2 linked regions of the Drosophila melanogaster genome follow. The protein of the gene in region 1 interacts with the protein of each later gene in a pairwise test. Each region holds a gene or a part of one and is shown in the gene's direction. Other genes may lie near its edges. The genes, in order: SkpC and bard.

Region 1 (9,957 bases):
ACAGTCAGTTTTGGTTGGTTCAAATCAAAAGAATTCTATATTCACATAAAGAGGGAAAATCAGCTAACTGCGTATTACTCTGCAAACATGTCTGTAAGACACTTGCAAAAACGCTTCGACAAACTGTTGTATAGTTTATACGGACGGACAGTCAAACGGACACACTATAGTATTATACAATAATAGTTTTCCCGATTACTTCACAAATACCGCGTATAAAAAGATTTGGACAAAAGTAACGAAGTAAAAAACAAAACAAGAGAGAATGCTATAGTCGAGTTCCCCGACTATCAGATACCCGTTAATCAGTTATTGTGAATGCGAACGCAAAGTTTCTTCATTTTTTCTGAGATATCGATAAATATTGGTGAAAAAAATGAGAAACAAATTAAAAACTAATATCTGTATGCTGAATCTCAACCTTTCAGCTTTTAAAGCTCCTGAGATCTCGACGTTCATACGGACAGACGGATATGGCTTGATTGATCCTGATCAAGAATATATATACTTTATATAGCCGGAAACGCTTTCTTCTGCCTGTTACATACTTTTCAACGAATTTAGCATACCCTTTTGCTCTACGAGTAACGGGTATAAATATATCAACTTTTATCAGTTAGTCAAGTTAAACGATTGCTTAGATTAATATTCGCTTGATTACTTAAGTTTGTCCTCATTTGTTAAACTATTGGTACCTAAGTGTAATTCAATTGAACCAATTGTAATTTAATGCCCACACTTACAACTAAACTACAACTTTGAAATGTTAACAGGACTCCAAACAACTAGGCGAATGGATAATATTTGCTGAGTAACAAGCTGATTGCCAAGTATATGGTCCATGATGATAGATCATAGGGACTCAGACTGATCACTGTTCAATTGCTACTCAAGACTTGGCTTAGATCCCCTCGTAATTGATGCCCCTGCTATTCCTCCGATATTCCCTCAAACCAAATTGTTTCTTACGCGCTTTTTCCTCCTTACGCACGATTTTAACTTTTTTTTTCGCTTTTTTGCATGCACAGGAGGCGAGTGGAAGAAAACTCGGGCCGGGTTCAAATAAAAAGGGGTTGATTATGGTCACTAGCAAATTGGTAGTACACAGCCACCAAAAAACGGGAGGATCCCCGCCCACTCAGGTCATTCGGTTGTGGACCAACCAACCGTCGGCGAGGACAAAACAAAAAGTGGAAAAGTGGTTGATTTTTCTTTATTTATTTATTCTTTTTTCTATATGATTTTTTTGTTTTTTATTGTTGTTGCTGTTGTATTCTTTGATTTGCCTCGCAATTTCGGTGCTAAGATTTTCACTCTTCCTTCGGCAAGGATGAATATATATATATGTATATAGGAGGTAAATAGCGCGAGCGAGTGGGACAGATTGATGGGGTCTGCTTCTAATGGTTTTTAAATTTGGTAATATTTCAATGCCATTTACGGCTAATGCGCAGCGCGAAAAATTCCTGTCCAGAAACTGTGAGAAAGCCTCGAAACGCCAGAAGGTACAGTTGGTAGCAAAGGGTAGAGCGAACCCCTTTCATTCTTCTTCCTTCCTTTGCATTTGTCTAATTAGGCCGCAACGCAACGCCATCTGTTGGCCAGCGTTCAGAGCTAAGAGCTTCATTGATCTGCGTAGAAAAATGCGGAAAACTCTGAGCGAAAAAGTGAATGAAAAATTTAAAGGCCCCACATGAATTGGCATAAATAACATGCACACACACACACATGCACGAATAAACCAAATAGAGGGACAGACAAACGCTTCACACTTTCGTTATTTTTGGCCAGCGGGCAAAGTGAAAGCGAGTGAAAGCGGGAAAAAGGGGCAAACGACGAGTCCAGACGCAAGTGAAAGTCAAATGGGGGTAGTAACGCACACACTCACAGCCACACAGACACATGTGGCACGAGCTAAAGAACGTAATCGCTCGTAAGTCCTGGCGTCCAGTAAAAAATTCAAAAAAAAAAAAAAAAAAATGAAAATAATGCGAATTGCGAAAACAGGAAACGAGAAAGCTCCCCGAGTCCTGTGTAAAAAATTCATGCGTGTGTGTGCGTTTGGCACGGTCGAACTCACACACACAACCCCCCCACCCTCCTGTTATTACCCCACCACCGCCACGCACACAAGCACAGACACACACGTCCCCGTCAGTCACAAGTCATTGGATGTCCTTCGTCCTTCGCAGCCGGCAGCTGCTGGCAATTCCCGGCCAATACAGCCAGACATCTACGCTTCAAATTTCAATATATTGAATAATACAGAGATCAAAGTTCTGGCCATGCACCCGTCGATTTTGAAGGACGAAGGACGATGGGCGGAGAAAACTTGGAATACATTTGGGAAATTGAAAACATTTGCGGATGCCAGCGTTTTGAGCTCAAGCGATTTGATCGGACTTCAAAAACAGGCCAAAAAGTGCTCCTCTGGGAGTCGTGTGGTGCCAGAGTCCTTCATCCTGTTCTACTCAATCATAAGGTGTAGCTATTGGCTATCCAAAACTGACACTTTTTTGGCCGAATTGCATCCGCATTCAGTTAAGTTTATATATTGTAGCGAAAGCAAGTTACACATAATTGGAGTATTTCGAATTTTGGTAACTGATTTCATGTTATACAGTGAAAGGGAATGTTAGATTCGCAAATGAGTATGTAGCAGGTAGAAAGAAGCAGGTATGCCCACGTCCTATCTCTTAAGCAGTTCAACTCCTGCTTGCTAAAGCAGTTCCCTCTGTTAAAGATATTTTGTACGTGGTTCTATTCGGAACTATTATTTTGAAATTTTTTAATTGAGCACTTACCCAACATTCATATATGTTTTAAAATTCATATTACACTTTTTTTTATTACACTTTTTAGGTCTGCTATAATGAATAACACAAGATTCGCGATTCTTAATAAGAAAGCTAAAGCGATCCTACAGTTCTTGATGTTCATTTCTACTGTGTAAACATTTGACAACGGTGTTTCCGCAGTGATCCCACCTGGTCACTCTGTTCTCACATTCTTTCATATCCTTTTTTTTTTAACTTTCGAATCGTCCAGTTGGCTCGTGCTCTATCAATCATCCCATCTCGTACTTCTCTCTGAATCACTCGTTTGTAGTAGTTTGGCAAATAGAAAGGCAAGGCAAACCGAAAATGGATGCTCCCACCATCAAGCTTGAGTCCTCGGATGGGGTGATCTTTTCAACGGAAGTCAAAGCCGCCAAGCTCTCCGAAACCATCAAGACCATGTTGGAGGTCTCTGCCGTGGAGAACGACGAGAATGCCGTTGTGCCGCTGCCCAAGGTGAACGCGTTCATCCTAAACAAGATTCTGACCTGGGCCTATCACCACAAGGACGATGATGACCAGGCAGCGGAGGGCGAGGAGTTGACCCCGCAAAGCCCACATGACATCTCACCCTGGGACGCCAACTTTATTAACGTCGATCAACCCATCTTGTTCGAAATTACAGTGGCCGCCAACTATCTGGAGATTAAGGGCCTAGAGGATCTCTGTTGCAAGACGTTGGCCAATATGATTAGGGGAAAGACTCCCGAGGAGATCCGCCAGACGTTCAACATCGAAGACGATTTACCGATCGATACGGCCGAGTTGGGCGAAGACCTGTGAGGCACAGAGAAGAAGAGGAAACTTCACCGGAACCTTACTTTGTTGAGAACTTTTTTGTTTCGCCTAGATAAATATACTAATATTATATAATATATATATATATATATACCAGTGTTGGAACAAGTACATTTTGTGTTACCTTAGAAAGGTGGCATGTTATGGACTATGATAAATAAATAAGGTTAGATTACAATCCCAGTGGCTATTCGGACCGATAATTGGTATCAAAGATAATTACCTTTAATCAATTTAGAATGAGAGTTGATCTGTACTGTGCTGTAGTCTTCCACGTTTTAGACTCTAAAAGGTAATAATTTTAATATATACAAAACGATGTATTTAAAATCAATTAAATAATGAAAGTGTGGATATATGTATAGTATAAACTATTTTTATGAAATATGCATATAAGATCATTTGGATGTTTGGTTCAGACTGGTTACGTGTAACGAAAAGAATTGATGGAAGGCAAGGGAACCTGTACTGGCGGATGCACGCTTCAGAATCCGGCTCTAGCTCTTTGGCGTTGTGGGGTGGTGGTCTATGCTTGCGACAAAAGAATATAGGAGTTAGTATACAAAATCGGAGGAAGCAAATTAATATATTCGAACGAAGATAGTTCAAGAAGAGAATGAAAGCATGAAACAATAGGTGTACCTATGACCTAGCTTTCCTTGAGAGCAATGGCTCTAGTGGCCCCTTATGTGCCCTATGTCCGGAGAAACATCAGCCGAGTTCAGTATTTTAATTTTTACATATTCATTTCTATCATTTGCTGACTAATGATTAATAACAATATTTATAGGAACCAATAATAAGTACATAACAAATTGAAATAAATTTAATTTGCTCAGAGTAAGGTGATAGATAATGACTTATGTAAGTTAAGAAAAAAAACTATAATTAAATAGACGTTAAGATGACTAAATATAATCTAAAAAAAAAAGAATAAATTATTTATTTAAGTTTTTCCATATTTCAGTTTTTTTTTTCAGTGTTGTTGTTCTTCACGATATTCTTGTTTTATAAATTATTACTTTTTTTTCAAATCAGTTTCTTTAATCAGTAAAAATTAAATGTAAGTGAGTGGGTTGCGGGTAAGGTCGGTTAGATTTTAATTAATATTTAATAGCTTATAGTCTAGCAATATAATTAGGGTTCAAGCAATTGTTCTCAGTGTATTCATTTGTCGCGTTAATCTGTATAGAATTTGTTCAACTTTGGGAAAAACAAGAGAGAATGCTATAGTCGAGTTCCCCGACTATCAGATACCCGTTACTCAGAAAAATCGATAGATATAAAAAAAAATTATAAAAATTTTAAAAAATTATTCCAAAGTGTGGGCGTGACCGGTTGGGCGGTTTTAGGGCGTTCGAGTGGGTGTGGCAAAATTTTTGTTTTTATCAATAGAAATTTACGAGACTAATAAAAATTTGAAATAATATCAACACGTTTTTCGAAAGTGTGGGCGTGGCAGTTTTGTGCGGTTTGTGGGCGTGGCAAATTAAATAAAAATTAAAAATACAAAAGTAATATAAAATAAGTCTCCTCCTTGGGTTCACATTTAAAGGAATTATTGCGAATAATTCAAATATTTGCGGATATAATTATTCAGAAAATTTCTCTCAGTGTACATTCGCAGTTTGATATCTTTCACGCAAGTATAGGTTTAGGTCCGATAGAATTTATCAATATGTTTACTTCAGCAGAAACTTCTCCCTCTGTATTCATGTCTTCTAACCCTAAAATTATTCTTGTCCACATGCTCACTTTTTTTAATTAATATATCTTTTAAGCATTTAAATTAAATACAAATCTTAGGGTTTTGGTTTATGTGCGGCTGCTGTCAATCGATGGGAAGGGGTGATCCCCGGGACGGCTCGAAAAGGGTGCTCCACAAGACGGCATGACTCGAGTTCATTTTTTTGCTGACCGCCTAATAGGTTAGAGCCTTTGCGTCAACTGGCACACAAAAAAAAAAACTTAAATCGCGTTCCGTTTGGCGGCTAGGAAAACTCACTCGAATAATGGTATTTTCGCACTTTGTTTTTGCTATCCAAAACGGACACTTTTTTGGCCGAATTGCATCCTCATCCTCGTATTAAGTACGTAATTAAGTACTAAAGCTAGCAAATCGAAATTCTTCTTTGTATCTTGGATTTAATATTAATATATTATTTTGGAACTCGGTTCAAAATACAGTTTTACGGTAACTGAAAATTTTGATTCTGTTAAGTGTATATATTTTATGGAAAGCAAGTTACACATAATTGGAGTGTTTCATAAAACAATAATAATACAGTAAAAGGGAATGTTAGAATCGCTAATGAGTATGTAACAGGTAGAAAGTGCCTTCTGTCCGTCTGTTTTTCAAATGAAAAAATATATATTTAATTTAAAGTTTTTTTGAAAAATTAGAGCAAGTAATGTAAGCCCACGTGCTATTTTCCAGTTCCCTCTGTTAAAAATATTTTTTACGGGGTTCTTTCCGGAACTATTATTTTGAAATTTTTTGATTGAGCACTTACCCAACATTCATATAGGTTTTAAAATTCATATTACACTTTTTTTTATTACACTTTTAAGGTCTGATATGATAAATAAAACACGATTCGCGATTCTCAATAAAAAAGCTAAAGCGAATCTACAGTTCTTAATGTTAAGACTTCCAATTTCTAGTGTGTACACACTTGACGACAGTGATTCCGCAGTGATCACATCTGGTCACTCTGTTCTCTATTCTTTTTTCTTTGAACTTTCGAATCGTCCAGTTGGCACGTGCTCTATCAATCATCCCATCTTGTTCTTCTGAATCTCTTTGAACGTAGTTTGGCAAATAGAAAGGCAAGGCAAACCGAAAATGGATGCTCCCACCATCAAGCTTGAGTCCTCGGATGGGATGATCTTTTCAACGGAAGTCCGAGCCGCCAAGCTCTCCGAAACCATCAAGACCATGTTGGAGGTCTCTGCCGTGGAGAACGACGAGAATGCCATTGTGCCGCTGCCCAAGGTGAACGCGTTCATCCTATCCAAGATTCTGACCTGGATCTATCACCACAAGGACGATGATGCCCATGGAGCGGAGGGCGTGGAGTTGAGCCCGCAAAGCCCACATGACATCTCAGCCTGGGACGCCAACTTTATTAACGTCGATCAACCCACCTTGTTCGAAATCATACTGGCCGCCAACTATCTGGAGATCAAGGGCCTAGTGGATCTCTGTTGCAAGACGGTGGCCAATATGATTAGGGGAAAGACTCCCGAGGAGATCCGCCACACGTTCAACATCCCGGACGAAATACCGAGCAGGACGGCCCAGTTGGGCGAAGACCTGTGAGGCACAGTCTCTTTCGGAGCAAATCCGGTTGGGACACCTGGAACCTTCCTTTGTTGAGAACTTATTTGTTTCACCAGAATAAATATGATATTACGAGTATTTTTGAAAGCATATCTATTGTATTTTATCAACATATTCAGTTTACAGTTTACTTTGGCAACAAGAACACATAAAACATAACTTTTTAAATCGTTTCATGTTCGCTTGGGCTAAAGGAGTGCTCTGGCTCTATTCCCAGTTGATTGCCACCAAGCCGCCCGGGGATACAAGCACACACCACACACCACACCACACACCGACCCACTCCACTCCATAGCACCCCAATCCCGGAATCCTGGTGCTCCTTAAGCCGGTTCCTGATTTGGCAGCCACGCTAATTTCCAAAAGCCTTGGCCGTTGGCGCTTATGAGCTCTGCATCCATGAAGTTCGCATTACGTATGTAAAATAGTGCAGAAAACCCCCAAATGAACCCAAGCCCAGGGTCCCAATCCTCGTATTCCAAACCCTTGGACACAACTTACGCACTTTACATACCGTTGCGGGGTGGGGAGGCGGGTGGTGGGTGGCAGGAGGCTGGGCAATGTCCTTTATTGTAAGTTAAGTTGCTGCCCACACATCTGTGTGTGAATGTGGGAGGGGGCGGCCTACGGCTTGCCACTCGCCTTTCTTCGTCCGTTTCATGTGTGCTTGAAATTTAAAATGCTCTGTGGAAATTGGTTTAGTCATGTATGTATGTATGTATGTATGTATGTGCCCAGTGTGCGTTTGTTTGTGTGTGTGCTTAGGGGGTGAAAGCATACACATACAAGAATGTCAGGTGGGCGTATGTGTGTGCGTGTATATGTGGCCATTGGTTTTCCTGCATAAACATAACAAAAATATAGCCAAATGTGCCACACTCGACTTAAGATTCTCAATTGTAAAGTACGCAATGTATGTACATATGTATACATATATTTATGGAAATATAAAAATATTAATATCAAAATTTATTTACCTTGTGCTCTGTAATTTGTTGAAAATTGAATAAATTTCAGAATGGTATGCTATATAGCTGCTCAATAAGAATAATAATGCAGTGGATATAATTATATGTTTGTTCTAAACGATATAAATATGTACGTTGTATCATTATTATGAATATTATCATCATTATCAACTTTACAAGAAATGCACGTATATTACACTTCAGTGAGAAGACACTATCCAAAATGTGTGCCAAGTGCTGTCAGTTTTGCCCCACTGTGCACCACGCCGCACAATTGCCTCGGGCGATTGTTGTTGCTAACTGTGTCGGTGATAGCGGAGCGAGCGGATAGTTTGCTTGGCCATAAGTTGTGAGGCATCCTTTGTAGTTTGCAACCGCATACCCATTTCATCAGGCATGCTTGTACATACATACATACATACATATGTATGTACATACATAATGGGCAAGTCGGCGACACACTTCGAAAGGATTAAATTCTGTTTTAGTAATTAAGTTGAAATTTATAATCAAGCCGAGGGTGGACCAGTTATGTACAGGCCCATCGACATATCCCAGTTTGGCCAACTTCTGGTCATGCGTATGCGTGCTTCTGAGCCACTTTGTCTTGGCCAAAGTAGTTTTCAAGTTGTGCTGCTGCGGCTGCGGCTGCTGCTGCTGCTGCTGCTGCTGCGACTACAGACAAACAAATGGAAAGTGGAAAATGGAAAATAGAGTATGAGGTATGCCCACCATGCCAGCCACGACTCTGGAGTGAAAGTTTTCGCCAGCTCTTTTTTCTGGTAACTTTGGCATTCGCACGCCTCAGCGCATTCGCAATCCGAGTTCAAATCCATAGCATACTTTTGCGGGCGGCATGTTTAATTTATGGCCGTAAAGCGCATGCATGTGTGTGCGTGTGCGTGTGCGTGTGTACATGCGGATGTGTGTGTGTGTGTAGTTTTCTTTACGCTCTTTTAAGGTGGACCCAGTGACTTAGTTCCCACAGCGAGACAGTATATTTTATATTTGGGTTGAAGTCCTGCCCAGAAATGCAAAATCACGGCAAAATTCTTGTTTTTATTTATTTATTTTTATTCTTTAGCCTGGCAGTGACAAGCGGAGGCGACACTGATGCACTGCAAAAAAAAACAACAACCAGTGCTTGGACATCAAATAAAGGAGAAACTTTAAGCACGTCATGAATTTAGCTCATAGGTACTAGCATTGTTTTAATTGATTTCCCATGAATATATGTATTTATTATATTTATGTATATATTTTAATGCCTTTAGCATTGAAATACAATACCGATGACTGCGTAAGATTTCCGCATTTGCCGACCTTATTTCTCAGTGCACTGGTCGTGGCCAGAAATCAAGCTCTCATGAAACACCACCAACACCAACACCAAGCATCCAAATGGGGTGGACTAAAAGGGTTGTCTTGTCCTTGTCCGCCTGTGACGGCCAGCGAAAGTTTTACAGAAGAAAATCATTTGATAAGAAGGACGGCGCGATAGGGCGAGAGCGCGAGCGAGAGCGAGAGAGGAGACAGCTCTTTTCGGACACAATTTCCTACTTAAAAAAAAAAAAAATAAAAGAAAAGGAAATCGAAAGGGGGCATCTGGTCTGTCAACTACATAACATTGCGAATGAAAATTCGAGGGAAAATTTCCCTTCGCTTTTTTTTCCCCCCTGCGCTTTGGGTCGTTTATTTTTTTTTTAGACACAGATACATACAATTTGATTTTTATGTAATTTATCATTTTCCTACTGGCGATTTCTGCTCTACAGTCGCTCAAAATGCTTCTTCTTCGAGGGGTTTGACCATCAAGTCAGATGTGAAATGTGGAGTTTGAGTAGCAAATATGGAGCTGCAGAGGGGAAGGAATCACAATAAATAGATGTATATATGTATATATATGTATGTACATATGTGTCTGGACCTATTTTAATGATATATGCATATGCAGGAACAGGAAGACGAGCTCTGTTCCTGCCATTGTGTACTTTACTTTCCCTCAGCAGTT
Region 2 (11,155 bases), on another chromosome or scaffold:
TCTGCGGATCTACAGATCGTCAGATCGGGAATCGCGAGCAGAGAGTCGGGCATCGAAAAGATTGGAGGGACAAATGAAAAGTGTGGTAGCCCAACTGTCAGCGATTGATGTAGCAGCCCTTTATCATTATCACATCTGGCCCGAGGGCAGGTACCAGACATTGACAGAAAACCGAGAATCAGCAATCCCAGAATCCGAGTATCAGGAATCGGGGGAATCGAGTATCGGCAATCGCCGCGTGTCCCGCTCAGGACAAATGCCTAAGCAGCCCGTCAGCGTCGGAGAGTCTGGCCCAGATCCACGAAGCACTTAAAAAAATGTCAAACTAACTTAGTCACATATCACGAACTTTTCTTTACTTAAAATGTAGTCATTTATTGGAATTGTTTTCTAGCAATTCGTTGAATGTTTCTATCAAATTCTATCAATTCATCATCAATTCAATTCTATCAAATTCTAACATACTAAATTTGGAATTACTTGCAATATCGTTTAAACGAATATTTTTTATATTTTCGAATATTTCTAAAATTGTTATCATCCATCTATTAATTTGTATCTATGCTAACAAGTCTGTTCATACACCTAACTAGCTCGAACAAATATTTTCCAAGTGCAGACATACCGAAAATAAATACTCTGCAGCATGTCGCAATCCCTGTCTGCTGTCTGTTATCTTAAAAACCTTGTTGTCGTCTTAATTATTGCGTTAATGAGTTTTCTGTTTGCTCTTCTTTCCACCGATCAACCCGTTCTGCATCTCGTGCTATTATCAATCAATCGGCGATCGACGATCGTCGATGGTCGATGGTCGATGGTTGGCTGGATCGAAAGTCTGTGGCAGGAATACCCGGCTGATCATATGCGTCGATAAGCGGTCAATCTACAATATGTTTGTATAATAAATAGTGTGAGTGCTATCGCCTTGCACTGATATTTATTAAGAAGCGACGATAAGCGATCTTACGTAGCATGCCGCAGTAAGGAAAAAAAAAGAAGGAATGCGATCTTAAGGACCGACAGGATACGAAATTCCAGTAGTGGGGGTCACAGCTTATGGATTTCCATGTCGCAAGTTCCCCCCAGGCCCCCAGGCCCCTAATCCCACATTTAATTAGCATGTTCAATTATGCTCGTATATTGCTCCACAGCTCAAACAACACAATGGATCAATAAACAAATTATCAGGGTGTGCGTGTTCCATTTCAATGCCTCGACTCTGAATTTCACTTTGATTAATTGTGGGAGCCAAGAGTTCCCACTGCGCAAGGGTTCTCATTTCTTCCCCCATTCCTTGTCTACCAATCTCGGTGTGGTTTTCCAACTCGACCAAGAATTGGTAAATTGTTAAGGTACTCAGGCGTGTAGTTTCCTCGATGGAGGAGTGAAAAATTAATGATTTGTTGATTTATGAATTGAATCGGGAGGTCAAGTCAAGTGTACAATGATAAACGAAGGCGAAAACCTAAAGTATCCAGAGTGTGGAGGACAGAGGGTTGTGCGCTGTCTGTGGGGTCTCTTGGGAATTTTGTGGGTGAGTAATTGAAACCGATTATGGAGAACTGGGAAAAAAGAGCACAGTAGATGGGTTCTGCATGATTGCGTACTAAAAACAAAGTCAAGCATTTCTTTTCAGAACCCAATTTTCAAGTTGTAAGCCCAAAACAGGTAACTAAGTGATCGCCAAGACTTCAAAAGACCATTTAAAAAAACTGTCCATCTAATGAGCTGAAACGAATACCCTAGTTAAGACATTCAGAAGCGAAACAATCAAGGCACCATGGAATTAAAATCTCAGATCGATAGTTTGGACATTCAGAAGCAAAACAATTTGCAGTAAAACAGCACTAAAATAAATATCATCCCATCAGTGGATCGCTCCAAAAAGCACACAATAGATATCCGCCCAACACAATACACTTCATCTGGAGTCCATTTGGGGAAGACAACATCAAGTGTTGGATACATAATTCGGCTGTGGACTGTGGACACTTTATGACCGAGGAACATTTGTGACTAAATGCAGGTGGGAAATGTGGAGCTACCACCTCGCCGGTTTGCTGCATTCTTATGCAAATCGCTTTTTGGATGCCAGACAAAGGAGATCTCATGATCATAGTCCACAATTTTGTTGGCCGATTGTTAGCCGCTTATTGTTTGGCCAGTTTATGGATCGCCAATTTACGACTGTTAAGAAGGAAACGTGTCGAATGACACAAAGTGCTACCAAACATTAAGGTAGCAAAAGGAAAACCATTAAGTTCGCATCATAGAACATGTTAATTTCTCAATTGTTTACTTTGGCCATTTATCCAGGCCACTCCCCTCAATTAGTTTTCACTTTTATGCAGAGTGCAGCGAACATAATTGCAACAACTTATGGTAAACACAACAAACAAGCTGCAAAACAAACTCAAATTCAACCAAATAAAATCACCAAGCCATTCAAATTGATTACAAAACCAAGACATGCGAACACACTCTGAGCCTTGGAGGATGAATTCTGTCCAGGTCTTCTGATAAACATGACTTGGCGAAAAGTTTTGTTCAGTTTGTTTGGACTGATGCTTGTTTTTATTGTTTAGCTCGTTATCAAGTCAAAATAATCAGCAGTCGTCTGTGGATCTGCGGCACTAACAATTGTCATTGTTAAAGCCGAGCCAAGCTCACAGGAGCCAGCCAAGTTCAAGTCCACATGGCAAATGTGCCCCATCATGTCGGGCCATCCAGGTGCCATCCAGCTTCCACGGTGCCCCCTTAAAAAGTGAAGCTCCTCATCATCGCCAACGAAACAGGAACAAAATCAGAATCTCCCGAGGCAAAAGCTCCAACAGACGCTCCGAACAATGCAACATGATTCGCGAATTATAAACACCACGCGCTGATGCAAAGCAAACGGGAATGGGAACTACGAATAAAGAATACCCTAGATAGGATCGAACTAAAAGTTACTTAAGGATGTATGCATGTCTAGGTTTAACTTCTTAGGAATCGTAATGGCAATACCCTTTGTTTATGGCCCTGAGTACAACTAACGTAAAAATTGTTGGTAGTTTCTAGGAAATGAGATAAGTTAAGATTGTTTCTAGATTCATATTATTAATACTTAATAGCTAATGGTTATACCCTCTTGGAAAGAGTATCTCAACCATCATTTTCGTATATTTCTGGAGCAATATAATCGCTTGGCTGTCTGAAAATTAAGCAGCCGCCGCAGACAGACGACTACGGAGTTTCGCTGAAAGTCCCGTCCCGGTAATTGTGGCAAGTGGCGCGCCTCTTCTGGCTGCCGTTGCAGCTACTGCTTTCCACTTCACCATGGCAGCAGCAAGCTGCAAACAGCAACTGCAACTGCAACTGCAACTGCAAACTGCTAGCCGCAGCTAACAACGGCTCTACACAGAAGCCAAAACGTGTCGTCCTTTTGAGCCACTTGAAGTGCTGCCCCTTCAGCTGAAGAGTGTGTCTTGATGTTGCTGCCGCTACTGCTGCTGGTGTTGCAGTTGCGCTGCTGCAGCAGTTGTTGTCATCATCGTGGTACGTGTTGCAAAAGCAACAGCAGCCGCAGCGGCAACAACAGCCTCGTTTTTAATTAAACAATGTAAGCAGCAGAAGGCGAAGAAGAAGCTAAAAAAAAAATATATATATATATATAATACAAAAAGCCAGCCAAGTTCAAGTTGGCTTGTGTGTGAGTTATGAGTTGCGCAATCACGACTTCTTGTCTCTGCCCAAAAAACGCAGTCTTCCTCTTTTCGTACTGGCTGATTAAGTTTTAGAACAAATGAATTAAAAAACGTGCACTTACGTTTTTTTTTTTTTCCTGGCAGCGGCAACGGCTACCGATCGTGTTGGCTTGTCAGTACGGAGGTGTGAAGTAATTTGGCCAAAAGGGCTTACCTGATTTAACAGTGGCAGCTGTATTTCAGCCGCCGCCTGATCCTTTTGTGCCGTCCCGGTTTTTATGGCTATAGGAATTTCAGGCAGATGATGCTTGGAAAGTTCTCAACTTTTTCATTTTTATTTACCTGCAAATAATGCAAAGGAGATATGTATGTGAACAGCGTTTTAAGCTCCAACGATCTCTGTGTAAAGATAAAATATTGTAATTCATTTAAATGAACAAATCAGGCAGAGATCGAGGCTAAAAAGAACTGTCCACTTGGGAGTCAGGAAAAGTCAAAAGCCAACAGCCTCCACGGTAGATTGTTGTGATGTGATTACGTCAAAATTATTAAAACAGTCTCGAGTCCCTCATACATATACACATACATACACATACTTCGGTATGTCATGTTTCCCAATTCGTCTGCTGCCTTGATCGACACTGATCTCAGATAAGACAGTCAAACAGAGACCAACCAAAAAAAAAAAAAAAAGTATATTATAGCCGAAAAAAACGAATACCAGAGACAAGTGCATTTGCATCAGAGATATACCCCAACCCGTTTTCCAAATCTCGTGTGAAGCAACGTTTTCCCAAAAGAAGAAAACAGAGTCGCTGAGAATTCATAAACATCAGATTTGAGGTGTAGCCAACAAAGTTGTTGAAAAATATGAACAAATGAAAATATTTTCACCAACCGGGCCAAAATAGAAATGTGCATTATATCTACATTAAGAAGTTGGCTCCCCGCTCAAGATTGTCAGCATTGTCTGTTGCCCAGTTTTATGCTTTGACAGGCCATAGACGCACACAAGGCTGACAACAATGCCATTAGTCCCTGGACAAAAGCCAACCCAATGACAATTGACAACAGAGGGTATCCAAGAATTATCAATGGGAAACGCAGGGCAACTGTACAAGTTTGTCCGGGAAACGGTGTGAACCTTCTTCAACACTCACAAAAATTATTTAATAATTGTACTTAAGTCTATCCTAGCAAAATTTTACTAGATTTTAAAGGAAATCAAACTAAGAATGTACCTCAATTTTTGATATTTTTATATTTTACTTTCCTATATATGATTTTTTCAATTTATTATATGTTAAATATATTATTAACAAAGGTTTGTGATCTTATAACATTTACTTTTAACATATATATTCCTTGGACATACTTTAGTGAAAAGGATTCGCTTTTAATCGCTTCGACAGTTTTCATCAGCTACGTTTCTCCCTTAATATAAAGATAATTCTAACACTGTATCTTTAAAAGAAAATGTATTTCTTCGGATAATAAACTGTGCAGTTTCTTTTTCAGTGTCTTCTGTGATTGTGATTCCTCTAATCGCTCGCTAAGCTGCCAGACAAAAACACATGGCTTTGATTATTAGATCGTTGAAGCTCGCACAGAATCCATTCCATTCTATTCTATTCCATTTGGTGGGACTGTTCTTCGTTTACGATTCCTCTGCGAGAGTTGTTAGCATTTCCTAGAAGCCAAGCCAGGCAAAGCCGAATGCTGACCACGTTTTGTCCAACGCATCCGGCCAAGATTCTGGACTGGAACAGGGCAGTTGCTAGAGAAGTTGGCTGGGAACACGTCTGGGTTCGTGTAATATGCAAACTAGTGAGTCTCTCTAGCGATAACTGTACAGATAGGGTTTTTTTTCTGCAGCAACAACAACAGCGCAGGCTTACAAATTGCAGGCAGTATACGACGGCGCAATTTATGAGGACCGGCGCGATCATGGCGCGATCCTACAGATCAGGTAACTACAGGTAACTACTACTGAAAGCTGGCACAGCTGTTGCCAAAGGATTAGCCTGCAAAAGAGATAAGGACACTGGGTAATCCTTCCCCACTACTACCTGATTCACTCCCTCACTAAATGCACTACCTAAATTTGCATAAAAACTTAGATTCATCAAAACAAGAGCACATTCAACCAACAGCAGCCTTCGAGGAAGCAACACACAGCAGTCATCACATTTGACAGACAATACATACAATGTCGCAAATGCACAATACCGCATTCTACAAGGACGCTCTGGTTGCCCAGCAAAATAATACCTGTTCACCGATGGAGGAAATTGAACCGAACTACATCGACAACCTGCACATTATATTTTTCGAGCAGATTTTCGAAGAGATCGACAATCTGATCGATCAGGTACGCATGGCTAGGGCCTATCCACAGTTCATGCCACAGATTCTCAAGTTCTGGCAGAGGCGACTGCACCTGATCATCGGTCCAAATACACCATTCCTTGGACTCCTGGACATCGATGACTATGTCTTCTTTATGGAACACATGGCTGATAGCTTCACGGATCTGCACGTTCACGACGGCGTTGGTTCCTTTTCTGAATTCTACGACTATATCACACACCTGTGCGATATCAATATCACCAAGTTTCCCAAGGTGGACACTTGCATATTGGCGGGCAATCCCAACACAGTGGTCGATGAGGACATCCGCGACTTGACGGTAATGTTGCCCAATCTCAAGCGCCTAATGACCTGCATGAATCTATCTGGCTTATATATGCGTGGCTTCAAGAAGTTGGAGGAGCTGGTATTCAACTCCTTGTACCATTCGGTGCCATTGGATAGCCGCTGGATTCAGGATATCTGTCTGACAATGACCAATTTGAGAGTCCTTGACATTACCGATCAGTTCGACAGTTGTGTGAGACTCACAGACATCAAATTGCCCAATCTGGAAGTGCTAAAAATCAACTTGAGCACCGTAGAATGCATGCTATCGGAGGTGCTGCAGTTGCCCAAGTTACAGAAACTATCCGTGCGATTCGATGATTCGCGGCAATTGAACGCAGATCAGGAGACCATCTTCCAGCAGATTGTGGTGGCCAAAAGCGAAAGGATCACCCGAATTGCCCTGAACAACGAAGTGGTTCAATTGCCAGCTCGGTGGCAGCAAAGTTTGCTCCTCGAACTGCCCAAGCTGAGGAAGGTGATATGCGAGAATTGGTGCCACAATGATTTCTTCCTGGATCGCCAGCACATGCCCTGCCAACAAATGGAGGTGCTCAGCTTCAGTGGCTGGGAGATTGTGCGGGAGACTCAGCTCCTGGAACTGGTCGCCGAGTGCGTCAATCTGGAGCACTTGGCTCTGAACGGCTACCACAGCAACTGGGAGAAACTTACTAAGCTCGTGAATATTCGCAATCAGGAAAGGAATCCCAGACCACTGCAGGTGTTCAGCGACATGATGTGGGGCAACTTCACACCCGAGGAATATTATCACTGGCAGAGCAACAAATATGTTCAGGTCACCTGTGACAGCAGCGAATACGAATATCAGGAGGATGGTTTCGAGTTTGATTTTGAGTGAATAACAGCTCAACAATTTTACCAATTGTATATACTCCTAAACAAATATTTTTTTTCATGAATTTTGTAATTTTTTATATTTTCTATTGTATATAAATAAGACGCACTGGCTAAATCAAAAGCAACGCACATTTTCATTCTCAAACACTCCCCGATTGCAGGCAATTTTCCAAGAGGTCTCTCCTTCAACGGCAAACATTTATTTATTTCGCATTGCAGCGCTTTAGGGTCTGGCAAATGGAAAAATCAACACACTTTATGGCCAGCGAAAAGATTTAACTGTGCTTTGGGCCCCAAGTTGCCGTCATGGCTTCTTGGACTCTCCTCACATGTGGCATGACCTCCACTCACATGGCCAGTTAATTTCGCGAGGCATAAATTATTTGATTTGATTGAGTCGGAAAATGAGTTCGCAAAGTGCCCAAAGCTCTTTGCCGACTGTCCGGCTCAGTTCCCCGATCACCGAAACTCCTGACCATTGGCCAACTGGCCAAAAGAAGTGAAGTTTGGCATGGCATTGGGGATTTGGCTCTCTTACTTCAGGGTTGGCGCAATACAACTGCTTTCAAATAAGCTAGATTATAGATGTTTAACTATAATTTGTGTGTAATTGTTAATATTTTGGTTATTCCATAATGAATATGTAAACTTTGTTTTATGAGGTTTCCGATCGGAAAGGATAATCACAGGGTAGTCTAGCCTTCTGGATTATAACATAATATCCCATAACATATCTACTATAAACGATAACTATCCCATGCGTACTTGCACGTGAAGGAAATTAAGCAATTTTGAAAAAATGTGCGCCTGGCTGAATGATTTACATAACTTTTCTCTTCGAAAAAAAATATGGCTTTTGGGAAAAAGAGCATAGTTTTGCTTTCGTTTTCCAACATTACGTGAGCCGATCGCGTCTGTCGGCCTAAATTATTGGCCGCACTGGCAAGTCAACACAAAGTGGGGTCCGGACTAATTTGTGGCCCCCATCGCCCCATCAAGAGATTAAAATGCAAACGAGGGCAGTCAGTTGGCTCTGGGCGACTCGGCGACGACAGTTTGAAGTGGACAAAATTTAGAAATAATGGACTATTAATTTATGGCCAACGGAGGAGACCAGAGATCGACTGACCAACTGACCGACCAACTGGCGTAGTTGCCATTTCCAAACGTTTTTTTTTTTTTTGGGGGGGATAGACCTTTTTTTTGGCTATCGACTTGTGTTAGCCGCATATCTATTGGTTTTTCATTAATTGACTAATTGCAGGGGCATTTCTTTGACATATGCACCACTTAAGGTCCAAAACTAATGCGACCCAATTAAAAGGCCGCTCCGCTACATCTTCGCACTCCAACCCAACTTAAGCATTTTGCCTAATTTCTCTATCAATTTTATTTAACATGACACTAGGGCACACAATTCGTCATGGTGATGGCAATCAAAGGGTCATCTACAACCTGTCCCAAGTGTAACGAATTTGTAGGTGAAATTGGAACGCGAACACGAGGATTTCTTGACTTTTAAGCCCCAAAATTGGTTCGATGCCACAACTTTGTGGATTTGCAGAGCAAGCTTGTTAATGAAATCGAATCGAATCAAATTAATCGAAATGAGGCAGCCTAGCACCAGCTGATTTTACCATAATTAAATTAAACATAAAAGGTCCAAAAAATCCCCAGAGGCCCTTAAGTGGTGTACTGTGTCGGATAAGTTCGATCGCTCAGACCATAAATACGGCGATAAGACGATGCGGCTTGCTTTTGATATTGTCTTTTACTTTTTGTAAAATTCAGTGGCTGTTGTTGCCATGGTTAAGGTGAAATTAGAGCTTGTAATGATCGGTGATCAATTATGGGATATTACAAAAAATATTAATTAGGTGCGCCTTTCTATATAAAGTAATGCGAAAGCTTTTCTGCATATTAAATAATATAGTAATATGATTTCTGCTTTATTATACTAGATTCGTTGAAAAGTATGTAACAGGCAGAAGTAAGTATATATATTCTAGATCAGGATCAGGCTATGTCCGTCCGTCCGTATTAACGTCGAGATCTCAGGAAGCATAAAAGCTAGGAGATTCAGCATGCAGATTCCAGATAAATAGAAGCAACGCAAGATTGTTGCCCTAAAGATGCAATTTTCGTTTAAACTAACTAATCAAATCAATACCAATATTTACTCACAGCAATCTTTGATAATGTACATATTTCAAGAGAACAAAACAATTTTATCCTCTTATATAATTATCAATATAAGTAAACATTTAAACCTATTAATAATATTCGAATATATATATATATACTTTTTTTATTTAAGATCATCGACTTAAGACAATCAATTCGGTCTTCAGTTCAACAATTTATCGTTAACGGATCGGTATTCTTTCACGAAGTCTTAACCATGAACTGGCTTTCCAGGTGGCCCACCGTGTTGATTTGCATCACCATCGAACCAAGAAAAAACCACACAAACGAAAATAACACAAAACATTAACACGAGTGTCAACAAATCTTAACGAGGTAACAAAATGTTTGGATCCGGTGCCAGTTTCCTTCAGTTTGGCGCATAACTAGCTAAACGTTGACAAATCGTTTGGTAACTCTATACTTTTGTAATGCAAAAAGAGAAAAGTAAGACCCTATTTTGGGTCTACGCACAATACAAAGACCTCGGACACAGGCAAACGAACAACAACGCCAACGAACTACAAGATAAATGCTTACAATTTTATTGCCAAACCGAAAACTTGACATCTTGTCGCCGGTTCGTTGAATGTTCGTTCGAACCTCAATCGTAGCCTGCCATTTGTTTTCGGCCAAAACAAAACAAAAAATGCTTAAAAATATATGGATGAAAAAAAAAAGGAAAATTGCATCCCCGAGTCACAGTCGAATTGACATCTCATTGATTAATGCCAGGCGGGCCGGTCCCAGACGGTCATTGCGGCAATTGGCGCGGTTCGATTAATTTGTCACTTGGCAAAAACTTAATTACCCCGAAGATTGTCATAGCTGGCTCAGTTGGAGGCCACTTTGATGGCTGGTGTCTTTCGAAAATCGCGTGACGTATCATAAATTCCAAATGATTTAATAACGTGAGCGACTCAAACCTAAGCCGCCTCTCCGATGAAAGCGGAAAAATATTTGCATTAGAGCAGTGATTTATATTATATATAGATAACTACAATCAATTTAAAATTCATTGCATAGTTTAGTTGTTAAATCTATATATTTTATAAGGTTTGCATACATTTTTAATGAAATTCACTATAATTTTTTGTGTAGTGTAATGAAGCAGATGAACGGCGATGGACAAATGATCGCCTGCTTTATGATGTGCTATCAATGGCCTATCAATGGCGGCGATTTTTGTTCTGTCCGCTCATTTGTAGAGCCATCAAAATGCTAATTGAAATCGCTTTTCCTTACCGCTTTTCCTTGGCTAGCCGCCTTTCATCTACAGCCGTCGCTGCACCAGAAACTCAAACACGCGGCTGATAATGCTCCAAATCGAAGTCATTTGGTAGCCGCGGCGGCAAAGCATCAAAAGCTATCGCCAACTGTAAACTGTCAAATTTAATAACTGCATCTAACAATGCTTAAGAAGCAGCAAAGTGATCAAATTGAATATCTTCAGGCAACTTAACGATCCGATGCACTCACAGGCAGCTCAGATTTGCATTTAAATCGTCTAGCTACCGCCGATGCTTTTTTTTTTTTGTGACAAAGCATTTGCCCCTACCAAACAATTAATTAAATGCGTTCTTCTGGGTTATTAAAAACAAATTTCCAGCATTAAACACGCTTATCGCTGCACCTCGCTAATGAAGACATCAACAGAGGCGCTGCAAAACAAAAGACTTAGGTGACGAACTTGACGAACTCTTTGCGAGGCTCGAATCCGATCGGTTCCG

The links.
Region 2: the proteins of SkpC (region 1) and bard interact in a two-hybrid assay, tested with the Drosophila melanogaster proteins (one large-scale study listed by BioGRID).

Annotation. Positions count from the first base shown.
Region 1 is NC_004354.4:19,809,658-19,819,614, forward strand, and holds SkpC (SKP1-related C), read left to right. Parts: upstream 1-6,414; 5' UTR 6,415-6,480; coding exon 6,481-6,957; 3' UTR 6,958-7,043; downstream 7,044-9,957. Other genes in the region: SkpD (SKP1-related D), read left to right, coding at 3,144-3,620.
Region 2 is NT_033777.3:18,075,226-18,086,380, forward strand, and holds bard (bard), read left to right. Parts: upstream 1-5,822; 5' UTR 5,823-5,895; coding exon 5,896-7,242; 3' UTR 7,243-7,358; downstream 7,359-11,155.